Linked DNA regions of Neurospora crassa OR74A. The main gene of each other region encodes a partner of the protein of the gene in region 2 in a complex. Links are inferred from orthologs where the notes say so. Each region holds a gene or a part of one and is shown on either strand. Other genes may lie near its edges. The genes, in order: tim23, tim50 and tim17.

Region 1 (3,734 bases), on a different chromosome or scaffold from region 2:
ACAAAGGTGGATGATTACGTTGTCTTCTTTCTATGCTAAAGTGTTCTGTTGGTATACTATCGAGTTTTTGTATATTCTTCAAGTGGCTTTCTATGGTGGTTTAGGAAGAAGGTGGGGATACATTACACGTTACATATGATCATGTCGAGCTCGCCTTTCTCCTTTTGCAACAGCATCCCACACCAGGAACCAAATGATGTTAGCTCGATCTTGTTATAACCAAAGATATGGATGGGAAACTTGCTTTATTAGTCTTCGATCTTAGAGAAAGCAATAACGGGATTCGTAGAGGGACTTAGCATAAAGAGGCAAGCAAGGTTATTATCGTTACTGCCACTTGTAGCTCACTAGTCTGTCGGTTATCGAAGAATTGATTTTCCTCCCTGTCTTGATCTCTCTGCTTCCATGTATTGAAACTGGTGCTTGCCTGTTGTTCTCAAGCCAAAGATTTGCATGGGGAATACTCGAGGAACAATGTGCGTACGGTTTCCAGTTCTGTGGCAAATAGGGAATTCGTCGGAGATGGGCCTTATCCTAAGAGAGTGGATATGTTCATTCGTAGTCCTGCCCCTAAGTCGCTTCGAACTTTGAACTCACACCTGCTTGCAGTCATTTTCGACACCAACGTGTGGCAGGGTGACATGCCCAATATATCCCACACCAAACATTACCTCTCTATTATCTTATCATAAAACCCGGAGCCAACAGTCATGTACAACCCGCAATAGACTCAAAGTTTGAATGAAGCCTGCCGCAATGCCCCATATGCCCAACCAGGGCGATTGCGCTCTATGTCCATATGATCCGCTATAATACATACAATTTTCCACACACGGGGAGGAGAGAGATGAGACTAACCCTTGCGCTATGCACCACTATGCACACACCCTGCCCTTTGGCCCCTCTTCCATGTCCTGCCTTGTTCAAGCCCTGCCCAGCCCAGTGTCGCTTTATTTTCGTTCTTCCCTCTCTTGTTCGTACACATCCACCAGTTCGTGTCTGCTGCCCTTTTGCTCCGTGTTGAACCAAGGACACACACACATCTTCATCGCAGTGGTCTTCCGTGCTGGTGAGAAAGACACTGGTTTTCTTCTGTCAGTTCTCTCGAAGATTAAAATAATAGAGAAGGCTGGCTAGCTATGCACTCTTTTCATGGAGCAACGATAGATGGCCAGAGAGTCGTGGGATGAAGGGAACAGAAGATGACTTTTTTTGTTTCCTATTTCATTCTTCGTCCCCACTTCAGTCAACCTCGTTGGTCTGGGGGGAGGGGAAGAACGTCCTCCTGGCGACCTAGTGACACAGTAAAGTTAGCAAGGTGTATTTCCAGTCTACGCCTGCCATACGAAAAATGGTGACATACCGCCCAAGTACCGGCTATCGTCGCAACAATACCACCCGAGATCATCATGGGCTTCAGACCCCTGGTGCTCTTGAAGAGCATACCACTAAGCGCACCGGCCAGGATTGAGTTGGCGGCATCGTGCTTGCCCCTCACGTAACCAATGCCGGCGTTGATTAGGTTGTAGCAGATGGCGACAACACCAGCCGAGTTGCCGAGGTAGGGACCGCGACGGGTGACAGCGTTAAGGACGGAGTTGAGGCGCAGCTTGGGCGGCTGGCCGGCCGATCTCTGGAGACCCTCTTTCAAACCCCACGCGCCTCCGATAGTGAGGGCCGTCAGGTAGGTGATACCGGTTCCGTAGCAGAGGTCGTCAGTGAAGCCGCGCGAGGGCAGAACTGAGGCGCCGGCGGCATCGGGCAGCGGGGTATCCTCAAGCGAGATGTATTCTAGTGTTTCCTTGTTGAGGCCGGCAAGAGGGTGTAGTTGTGTGGGGTCGGCGAAGGAAGAGCTACCGAGAAAGGCCTCGACACCTTGGGGCTGGCTAGCATCGAAGGGCGAGGGATATGAAGGAGCGGAGGTGGTGGTGGTGGTTGTCTGAGGTGCGCTGGGGGCGGGTGCGGCGGGCTCTTGCTGCTCTTGCTGCTTCTTGTTGCCTCCGGTGAGGGTGTTCCAAAGGCCGGACATTGTGACTGAAGTGGAGGGGTTCGATGGGTTATCGGATCGTTAAGCAGTTGGGGAACACGAAGCAGATAGACCGCGTACTGCTGCGCGCAAGAGTGGTGACGGGTAGCCGGAGGGAAGGGTGGGTGGGTGGTGCCGTCGGCAAACGAGTAAGCTATCGTATCTTCGGGGGAGTGACGGACGGGTCGGTGGGCGAGACGGATGGGATCTCGAATTGGCTCCGGCTCACGCGCAACTTGGACCGACGCCTGTCTTGGCCCCCGATAACGTCGGAACTTCGAAAAAATTTACCTCTATGGCGCCCGCATGGCCCGTGCGAGCGATTGGCGTCATATGTACCTCTACATATGTATATACATGCTCTGGGGCTTTGATTTCGGGGACATGTCAACATGGCGAAGTGGAACTCAACCGAGGCTGTAATGAAGAAGACCTTATTGAAAGGTCAACTGCAGTACATCGTGGGCATCTGAAGCTAGACTACGCCTTGAACAGATATATTCAACGGATTCTCCATGTTCCCATTCCTGCTTTCTCAGGACTTCTTCGCCTTTGGATCTTTTACGGGGACGGTTCGTTCGTGGGGATTCTTTTACTGCTACAGTGCAGGGGTATCTCTTGACATGGCGGCAGGCAACTTCAGACCCAAAACAAGCACGGTGGCCGGAGTGGATTCACCCCCAGAACATGCGCAGTGGATGTAAACACACAGTGGGTGATGCTATAGGCCTTTGAAGATCCCAAAATTTCACAACTCGTCGCTCATACTTTACACGAGTGCCCAGCAGAGAGGTGGATTACTTACTATCACAGTAACTTCAGGCCCTCACTAACTCTCACTGGGGGGCTCATTGACGGTCAGGCACTTACCACTCTTCGCTCCTTCTTTATTGCCTCCCTTTCCCAGTCATCATCACTCTGCAACGAAGTCTCGGATGCACGTCTAAACCCGGTCCCTCAATCATAACTTCCCTTTTGGACTGCGGGGATGGAGTCAACCCAAGTCCAGCAAAATGCCCCCGGCAGCAGCACCATTGACACGGACGCTCTGCTAGCCGGACTGGGCCCCGAAGTGTTTGAAAATGCCAACACCATCACCAAGTGGCTGTTGTCACAACCCACCGAGTCACTCCCAGCGTAGGTTTCTTTTCTTTCGGATATCTTCAGTGTCCAGTTATTCTTTGTGAGAAGTTCTCAATCACACATATACAGACATTCACTAACACCCGTGTTAGCATCGCACAGGCAGTATTTGCCAAGTTGTTCAGCAATGCCTCTGAGTCTCGCCAGTATCACGGCAACGGTCACGATGTCGTAAGGCTCTGCAGCTTTGTTCAGCAATGCGCCAAGGCCAAAGACGAGAAGCTGAAGGAATGGGCCTTCACCGAGCCCGTCTCAACGAAGCTGTTCCATTTCTACCTTGAGTGGTATGAACACGACCCGCATCGTGCCCTGAGACTGATTCTTGATGTCCTTGTGGCCTCGGCGACCATTAATCCCAAACCCGAGACAGGGAAGGCAGTGAAGGAACACATCCTCAAGACCATCGTGGAGATTGTCGCTCGCAAGTCTGCCATGCAACTGACCAAGTCTGGCCTGCAGTGTCTGGACCACTTCTTGAACAAAAAGGTTCTTTCCCTCGACGATGTTGCTCGCAAGTATCGCGAGGTCGACTCTTCTGTCGCCGACCTATCTCATCTCTCCGTGT
Region 2 (4,055 bases):
CCAACATACCTGGTGGAAAGAAAAGGTCTCCAGACATTGATAAGTGACCCTGGACACAAAGATCCGTATCTCGACTGTGCTCCTCACAGTTCTGACCCGACGGCGTGGTCAAGAGGGGTTCGCTCGAATGCGTAACATTTCATCGAATTAGTATCGGCTATCCTACCCCTGATCGGGAATATGTCAAGGATGACAAGTCATAGTCCTCGCAACACTGGACGATGAGATGTCCAATGCAATAAGGTGTTGAGTTGTGCCAACCCAAGCTCAATACCAATGACTTTCTTTAATAAAGCACCGGGTTCGACTGGTGGGACTGTGCTCGCTGACAATGCGAGGACAGATATTTATCTCGCTTAACGCGAGGCGGCTTCGATAACGAGAGAAGGTGAATGAGCTAGTGGGTGTTCTTCGATTAGGATGTTCCCTCGACTTGCGGTCACACAGTAACGTGCTCCTGGCATCACGAATAAAATGCAGGGAGGCGAACAGACAAGACTTCTTGCTGAGAAGGGATGTTTGCCCGAAGTGATATGGAAAAGTGTTGGAATTGTCATAACTTTTTTTCGTTGAGAGACATTCTACAGCACCTCTAGAGCCACACCCTCAGACAGATTATGTAGATGTATGAAACCTTCTCTTTCCTAAGTGACCCACGCCTATTCCAATGCTCCGCATGTGAAGGAAGAATACCATGACCGGAGTAGAGAAGTCCGGTAAATCCCTTTAGTGACGCCAATCATAGACAGAGAATGGAAAATGGAAAAAAGAAATAGCACAAGACATGGTAAAAGTACAAGAAAATGGTCACAAGGTGTTGATACATATCGTCGCGGATGACTGAGGGGGCGGATTCGTTTGGTCGATTAGGCCTTCTTCTCTGACTCGCCGGACTGCTGCTCGCCGCTGGGAGCACCGCCGAACCAGCCAAAGACGGAACTCTGCATGTTCTTCATCATCTCTTTCTGGGCCTTCTCCTGGGCCTCCTGCTCCATCTTGAGCCACATCTCGCCGTTCTTCTTGATCTCCTCCTCCATGGCCAGGTAGTTGCGCATGCCGCGCTCACGGGCAATATCCTGGATCATCTTGCCCTTAGCAAAAGCCTCAGAAGGATCCTCCTCGCCCTCCATGGCCATGGGGTTCAGCTTGCTAGGCTTGATGCCGAAGCGGGCGCCAAGCGAGCCCAAGCCAGCCTTCTTGGCCTTGGCGGCAACGAGCTTGTTGTGCTCAGCGCGGGCAATGGCCTCTCTACGGGCAAACTCGGTGGGGATGTGCTGGCCCTCGAAGGACTTGAGGACCTTGCGAACATCGGGGAAGTTCATGGTGTGGATGAACTCGAGGAAGGGGACGAGGGACACGAGCTCGGTATCCTTGGGATCACCCTTCCACTTGGGGAGGACGATGGCGTTCTCGGGCTGGGCGCGCACGTGCTTGGGGTCGGTATCAATGATGATGACCTTGGACAAGTCTCTGTTGAGATAAGAAAGGTCCTGTGCGACAATGGTTGGTTAGCTACCGTGATGGTGCAATCTTGACAGCTCTAGGTGGTCCTACCTTGACGATCTCGCCATCCTTGTACTTGGTCGCCTCCCTAAAGAGGGGCCACATGATGAAGCGGTACGGGTCCATCTTGCGGACAATAGGCTCAGCGTTGGCAAAGGGAACGCTGGTGAAGAGAACAATCTCGTAGTACTGGCTGAGGTAGCGCAAGAAGTAGTCGACACCAGGACGCTTGGCGAGACGCCAGCCGTGGTCGCGCGTCCACTCGCTATGCACCAGCATATCTTCCAAACTGATACAGAGGGTGTACGGACGCTCGAATGACGGATCCGGGTCGGGTAGCAGCTTCTCGAAGGCAGGTTCCTGGTAGTAGCTGACGGTTCCAGTCATCCTGGCCTTGGCCCTCTTCCACCACAGGCCGAGACCCCAGCCATTTGGTATATCATGGTGCTTCTCAAGCTCCTCCTCATCCCATTCCCTTCCCAAGTAGATCGTTCCACCCACCAAGGCGAGACCAGCGGCAATGAAGGCCCAGTTGGCCATCTTTTGGCGGCGCTTCTCAGTAGAAGAAACGTAGGCAGAATCGGGGAGCTGGCCCTTCTTGCGGCCGCCACCACCGCTGCCTGACGTAGCGGCCTCAGGGCCCTCGGCGCCCTCAGCCTGTGTCTCTGCCTCCTCACCGGCGACCGGCTTCTTGCCGGCCTCCTTCTGGGCCATCTCATACTCTAGGGTGGTGGGAATACCACCTCTTAGATCGGGGAGCTTGGACAGGTCGATTTCGGGTTCGGGTTCGGATTCGGCTGGGGTTTGTTGTTGCTGCTGTTGCTGCTGCTTCTGCTCAGCTTTCTCGGATTCGGCGGGCTCGGGGGCCTTGGGAGTAGCCTTTTGTGCGGGAGTGCTCTCGGGCTTGGAGAACTTGGGAGGCTTGTTGTCCTTGGCCATGGAACGGGTCCAGACGGCGGGCAGGGTGCGCTGCGACAGGAGAGGCGACGCCGCGTGAGCTGCAACACGCGCGCCCGCGATGGAGCGCACGGCAGCTCTGGACAGCATCATGACTGATATTGGTTGGACACACAAAGGGCAGCAGCTGTTTGGAGCTGTGTGGTGTCGAGTGTCCCCTAGTGATGGAAACCGGAGGTGGATGGATGCCCGGGTGGTTGCAGGAGGGGGGGGGGGGGGAGCTGGTTGCTGCCTCTAGGTGGTGGAAACAAGTGACGATAACAGTAGGATAACGGAAATTCAGGGCGTCGTAGTCAGTTGCAGTCAGTCAGTATCCGCTGGGCCCGATAGCGATATGATATCCCAAAACCAAACTTTCCAATTCCACAAACTCAAGCTTCCCGCCCCGGCCGGCTGCTCGCCCAGAAAAAAACTTGAGTCCTGAACCTTCCGTCACAACGCTGCTAGTTGAACTTCAGCCTTGGCGCGCTTCTTTCGGTCCAATCAGACACGAAGGAGGGGTCTGTCGCTGGATCTTCCAAGGCCGCCGTGCACAGACCTTTGATGTTCTGAGAGTTCTTGTTCCCGGCCCCAATGGCCCCACATACGGAGTTAAGCGTCAAAGACAGTGGGGGACATGTCGTCATCTTTCAGCTTGTGGTTGTTGCATGGATGGATGACAATCACGTCTTTGATCTCCAATTCACCATCTCAACTCCAATATGGCTTAAAAGATAAAACTCTTGATCTCGTCTCCAGGAGACTATCTATTACGACAGGTGTCTGAGATCCTATGTCGGTTGGAAGATTCGGGCACGATTTGACAGGTGTCGTTTATTGGACTGCAGATACTGAAAACGTCAGACGACCGTGACACTATGTACTCTTCCACTGGCATTGCGCCTACAGACGGGATGCTTTTCGACGAGCAGATTACTGTTGCGTGGAAAGGAGCAAGTATAATTTGTAAATGAAGGGAGGTTGCGAACTAAACAAGTACCGGGCATTCAAAGGTATGACTGGCTCTTCGATAACTAAAGCTCTTCTGAGCCATTCAGATCACTTCGCTCTTCTCCTAACCACACAGTTGCTATCTAAACGACGGATGGAAAGCTTGGGTGACCTGACTGACGACTTGATCACCTCAAAAGTCCCCCAGGTGAACCATATGCTAAGTGGATGTTTTTTTCTGTTACAATCCAGTTCAGTAGTTGTACCTCTTGGTGATCCAGGCCATTTGTGTGATTTCCCTACTCTACCCCTAACCCTCTTGCTATCCGAGTACAGCTTATGTAATGCGTCGGTCAAAGCAAATCGTCTGCACACTCAGCGATACAGCGATGCCGTGTTTTGCTGTGATGGACATCCAATTGAACCATTCAACATCATCCACTCAGTTGCCTTCCCCTCACCTGCACTTCTCGGTAGGTAGGTGACCACTTCTTGCTCGTTTTGTTTCTGCATCGTTCTAGCAAGCCGAGACGGAACCGAATCGATACAATTGACGAATCTTCTTTTTAACACAACACTTGCCCTCTTCTGCTCCCAACCCATCTTCTCTCCTTCCCACTCCCGTCTTCTCTGTTTCTTCTGGAACATATCATCATTCATCCAAC
Region 3 (4,301 bases), on a different chromosome or scaffold from region 2:
GCGTCTAATCATCCATGGCGGCGCCGGCAACATCACCCCCGCCAGCCTCGGCCCGGAGCGCTACGTCGCCTACCGCTCCTCCCTCCTGACTATCGTCTCCAAGGCGCACACCTACCTGACCACGCCCACCCAGTCCAATTACAATTCCCCTTCCAGTTCCTCAAAACTCCCATCAGCCCTCGAAGCCGCCACCTACGCCGTCACCCTTCTCGAAGACAACCCCCTCTTCAACAGCGGCCACGGCGCCGTCTTTACCCGCGATGGCATCAATGAGCTCGAGGCTTCCGTCATGGTCAGTCGGGGTCAGGCCAAGCGGGGTGTGGGAGTGACCGGGTTGCGCCACGTTCGGAATCCGATTCTTCTGGCAAAGAAGGTTTTGGAGCACGGGAAGGACGATCTTTTGGGTCGTGGAAAGAAGCTTGATAATAACACTGGAGATGGGGAGCCTGATGTCCCCTCGGCACAAGGCCATACGCTGATCCACGGCCCAACGGCGGAAAAGTTGGCGAGGCAGTATGGCTTGGAGATGGTGGATCCTAGTTACTTCTTTACGCAGAAGCGGTGGGACGAGCACGTTCGGGCGTTGGAAAGGGAGAAGAGGGAGCAGCAGGATCTGCTTGGCGCTGGCACTGCTAGTGGCGTTTCAGCGACCTGGAGTAAGGACGAGTATCTGCCGCAGGGAACGGTCGGTGCGGTGGCGCTGGATGTCGAGGGCGTGATTTGCGTGGCGACGAGCACAGGCGGCATGACGAATAAGTTGACGGGCAGAATTGGTGATACGCCTGTTGTCGGGGCTGGGTTCTGGGCTGAGGAGTGGACGGAGGAAGGTGATCCTACTTCTCCTCATAAGAACGGATCGCGGAATCCGTTGTATAGCCCGGGACCAGCGGTGGTTTTGTCGGATGCGCTCAAGAGACTCATCGCCGATTGTCTGCCTTCGCCTTTCCTGTATACCCCCACTCTTCAAGACTCGTCTGGCGGGTTGACCACCACCCGGTCGATCGGTGTTTCTGGGACAGGCAATGGTGATTCATTCTTCCGCGTTTCTGCCGCGAGAACTGTGGGCGCCATTGCCAGATATTCTAGCCTTCCTTCCGTCGTGGCCCTGACCAAGGTTGCTGGGCCGTCCGGAGAGCTTCAGAAGAGCGCCGATGATCGATGGGGCAAGGCTGGCGAAGGCGAAGGTGGCATCATCGGACTGGAGTTGGTGGTCGTGCGGGACGCAAGTGGTAATGTCGTTGAGACTCGGTCCGATATCCTTCAGGACTATAACTGCGGTGGCATGTTTCGGGCTTGGATAGACGAGGAAGGTGTCGCGTATGCTCGCATCTTTCGAAAGGATCAGGATATCTCCAGTTCATATGTCGGCGAAGGTAGACCCGAAGATCCGCGGTTTTGGAGTGGCGAAAAGATCTAGTAGTTTAGTTACATGGTTCCCTTCTGTCTTGAAGCACGTTAGCCGGTAACACATTCGCAAAGCGTATGATGTCTTCCAAAAAAAAGAGAAATATTATTCGGATGGCTGTTCTTCCGCGCTGAGGCAAAGCATCCACGCCGACCCCCTTATATGGCAAGCGTGACCAACAAACCCATTTCTATGTTACATGGAACGCCGCCACCTAAAATGCTGAACCGTCATGAAATGCGTAGACAAATACACAGCCTAGCCCAACCGATACGGGCCAGGTGGGAGAAAGGAGTTGAGAGAGATGATATAGTCGACAATCTTTGCGCATCCTAAATCGAGGTTTTTAAATGACCGCTGTATTGTATTTAGGCAAGAACTTTTTCGTTGGACGGAGGTGGCGCAGGAGCCTAGTAGTGTGAGAGAGAGCGAGTTAGCAACCGCCAGTTGATCACCTCTCAACGACCTTCCCATGCATACCTCTAGCTTTGTGGCGCCCGCAAGCATCTTCTGGAAACCAATACCGACACCCTCAATAACAGCCAGGAGGACAGCGCAGCCGATAGCACCGTTACGGGCCGCCTTGTAGCCACCACGAACCGCCAACGCGCCACCCGTGAAGAAACCGGCGAGGATGGAGTTCCACGGGTCCTCCTTGTGGTTCCTTAGTCCCTTGATAGCGCAGTCGAATGTGCTGAAAAGACCACCCCAGACACCTGGATGCCACATGTCAGTATCGGCCGTGGCAAGAGCCGCGTGAGATGTGTCAGGCGGGTTGACTAACCGAAGTTACCGCCGAGCGCAGGGGCGCGCATCTTGATGGCAGTGATGGCGCCGATTCTCCTCTCGCCGTAAGGGCTGTTACGGAAGCCCTTGATACCGTGCCAGATCGTACCACCGATAGCCTATGGTCGGCGACATTGTGTCAGTAACTGACTCCATGCAGCAAGCAGTCAACAAGGTTGAGGCGACGGCGACAACGAGGGGTTTAGGCCAACCACACTCGACGTGTGTCATCACTGGTGGCTGCCCATGTGGTGCGAGAACAAGAACATGGTGAGAGAAAACATACACCCATGGCGAAGGCACCACCGAAATCGTTGAGGATAACCCACGGGCAAGGGTCGCGAGTGTGATCCATTTTGGCGGGTGGTTTATGGGGATCGCGAATTAAACGGTGATGGGGTAGTCTCTCGGAGAGGAGGAAATATGTCGCAGTCGAGTTCTAGTTCGGAGTGCGACAATGAAGGGAGGTCGTCGGGGACGCAAGGCGACGGGGAGGTGGTGGTGGTGGAGGACTGGTGGCGTTGCTGGGTGGGAGTCGGCGGGGGAGCAAGCGGATGCAGCCAGATGGATGGATTTTTGATAAAGATACGGGCGCGGAGTTCGGAGACGGTTTGGTGATGATCTCAGAAGCCAAAGAAAATTATGACCGCCTTGCAAGGGTCAGTTCCGGGCAGGCCCACCAACCTTGCCGTGCCAAGACCTAGGTGGCTTCCTTTCCTGGTCCGAGCGTCACTTGTTTCAGTCCAGATCACTTATCACTTCGGGCGGGTGGTACCTCGACGATACATTGAAACTCTTGTTCCGCCTACACTTTGCGCCAACATCAGCGTAAATCGGCGAGTCCATACGGCGATAGTTTCTGATGGTCTCCTTGATCGCCGACTATGGGAGCCAAGTCACCGATATGGCTTGATATCAGCACGAGTTTTGGGGTGCTATTCAGCCTTGAAGCCATCCTTCGGCGTCCTCCTAACATCACTTTGCCTCATATTGTGGTACCTTCGGGTACCTTCCACCCTTTCTCTTCGCCCTGCTTTCAGCTGATTCCGAACCAAAGTTGTTTCGAACATCACGGCGATCATCACTTTTACTTCTTCTGTTTAACTCAGCTGCTTTGGGAGTTTGAACCTTGCGAGCCTTTGTGGACTCTATGCTCTGATGATTTGGATTTCAGGGCATTTCCAAGTCAACATTTCACCAAGAGTAAGGGGCACAAAGCGACAGCAGCATTGTACGACATATGCAATCTCGACGCGTCTCATCACCATCCGATGTCGCTTCATCCCATACAACATCGAGATAACTGAGCCATTTTTCCGACCAGTCTTCAAAACCACATAGCTGGGTGGTGGTGTGATTTGATCTCCAAGTGAAAATGTACCTCTTTGTTGTGCTTGTGATACCCACACGCTCCCAAGCTCGAAGCAACCCATGTCACGGTACCTTTGGACTGGCTCAATCTAGCTGTTCCACAACAGAACAAAGACCCAGGAACTGGGCTGGATTTCGCGGCTATCATGCAAAATATTCGTAGGGGACCATCACTATCTGCAACTGATAGTGTTGAAGCTCGCCCAGACACCAAGTGTGGCGTAAAGTTCCTTGATCGTGTGGACATCAGAGCCAGGATGTTTGCCTGCTGTCTGGGGTAGAGCGGAGTATTATAGGAAGAAGCCATTGCCATTCCGTTTCTTTTGATCGCTCAATCGTGTGACTCAGCTGAACTTGACAACAACGAGGCTGTTGGCGATCCGAAAAGCGGTGAGATGCCTCCGTCCTTCTTCTTTCGACCCATCCGTTCTGGGTTTTAGGGATGTGAATATCCCACCACTGGACTTATATATTCCTAGCTACTTGATGGATGGTGTCGTCAACCCCATGATCTCGCGTCATCGTACGGCATCCGTAAGCACTTTCCCGGGTCATCAAAAACGCAAGCAAACATGACAGAAATCTGCTATTGCGACATGGGCGAGCACGAAACGAAGCCCAATGGAAGCAATGGCGTTCTGCATATACCATGCTCATCCAAATCTTCCACTTCTTCCTTGACAGCATCTCTGGAGACGCCATATCAGCCCATAATCCCCAAAAACTTTGTTTGGAGACT

Evidence for each region.
Region 1: tim50 (region 2) and tim23 share a complex: the UniProt entries of both Schizosaccharomyces pombe proteins name them as parts of the TIM23 complex. The link is inferred for Neurospora crassa OR74A from reciprocal best matches to the Schizosaccharomyces pombe genes tim50 and tim23.
Region 3: tim50 (region 2) and tim17 share a complex: the UniProt entries of both Schizosaccharomyces pombe proteins name them as parts of the TIM23 complex. The link is inferred for Neurospora crassa OR74A from reciprocal best matches to the Schizosaccharomyces pombe genes tim50 and tim17.

What each region holds. Positions count from the first base shown.
Region 1 is NC_026503.1:3,607,757-3,611,490, forward strand, and holds tim23 (mitochondrial import inner membrane translocase subunit tim23), read right to left. Parts: upstream 2,276-3,734; 5' UTR 2,030-2,275; coding exon 1,364-2,029; intron 1,294-1,363; coding exon 1,243-1,293; 3' UTR 535-1,242; downstream 1-534. Other genes in the region: NCU00372 (hypothetical protein), read left to right, coding at 3,015-3,163, 3,262-3,734. UniProt on the Schizosaccharomyces pombe protein: Essential component of the TIM23 complex, a complex that mediates the translocation of transit peptide-containing proteins across the mitochondrial inner membrane.
Region 2 is NC_026501.1:8,625,261-8,629,315, forward strand, and holds tim50 (mitochondrial import inner membrane translocase subunit tim-50), read right to left. Parts: upstream 2,825-4,055; 5' UTR 2,554-2,824; coding exon 1,555-2,553; intron 1,491-1,554; coding exon 867-1,490; 3' UTR 367-866; downstream 1-366. UniProt on the Schizosaccharomyces pombe protein: Essential component of the TIM23 complex, a complex that mediates the translocation of transit peptide-containing proteins across the mitochondrial inner membrane.
Region 3 is NC_026506.1:1,284,884-1,289,184, forward strand, and holds tim17 (mitochondrial inner membrane translocase subunit TIM17), read right to left. Parts: upstream 2,809-4,301; 5' UTR 2,547-2,808; coding exon 2,478-2,546; intron 2,311-2,477; coding exon 2,190-2,310; intron 2,122-2,189; coding exon 1,886-2,121; intron 1,816-1,885; coding exon 1,774-1,815; 3' UTR 1,418-1,773; downstream 1-1,417. Other genes in the region: NCU05624 (L-asparaginase), read left to right, coding at 1-1,417. UniProt on the Schizosaccharomyces pombe protein: Essential component of the TIM23 complex, a complex that mediates the translocation of transit peptide-containing proteins across the mitochondrial inner membrane.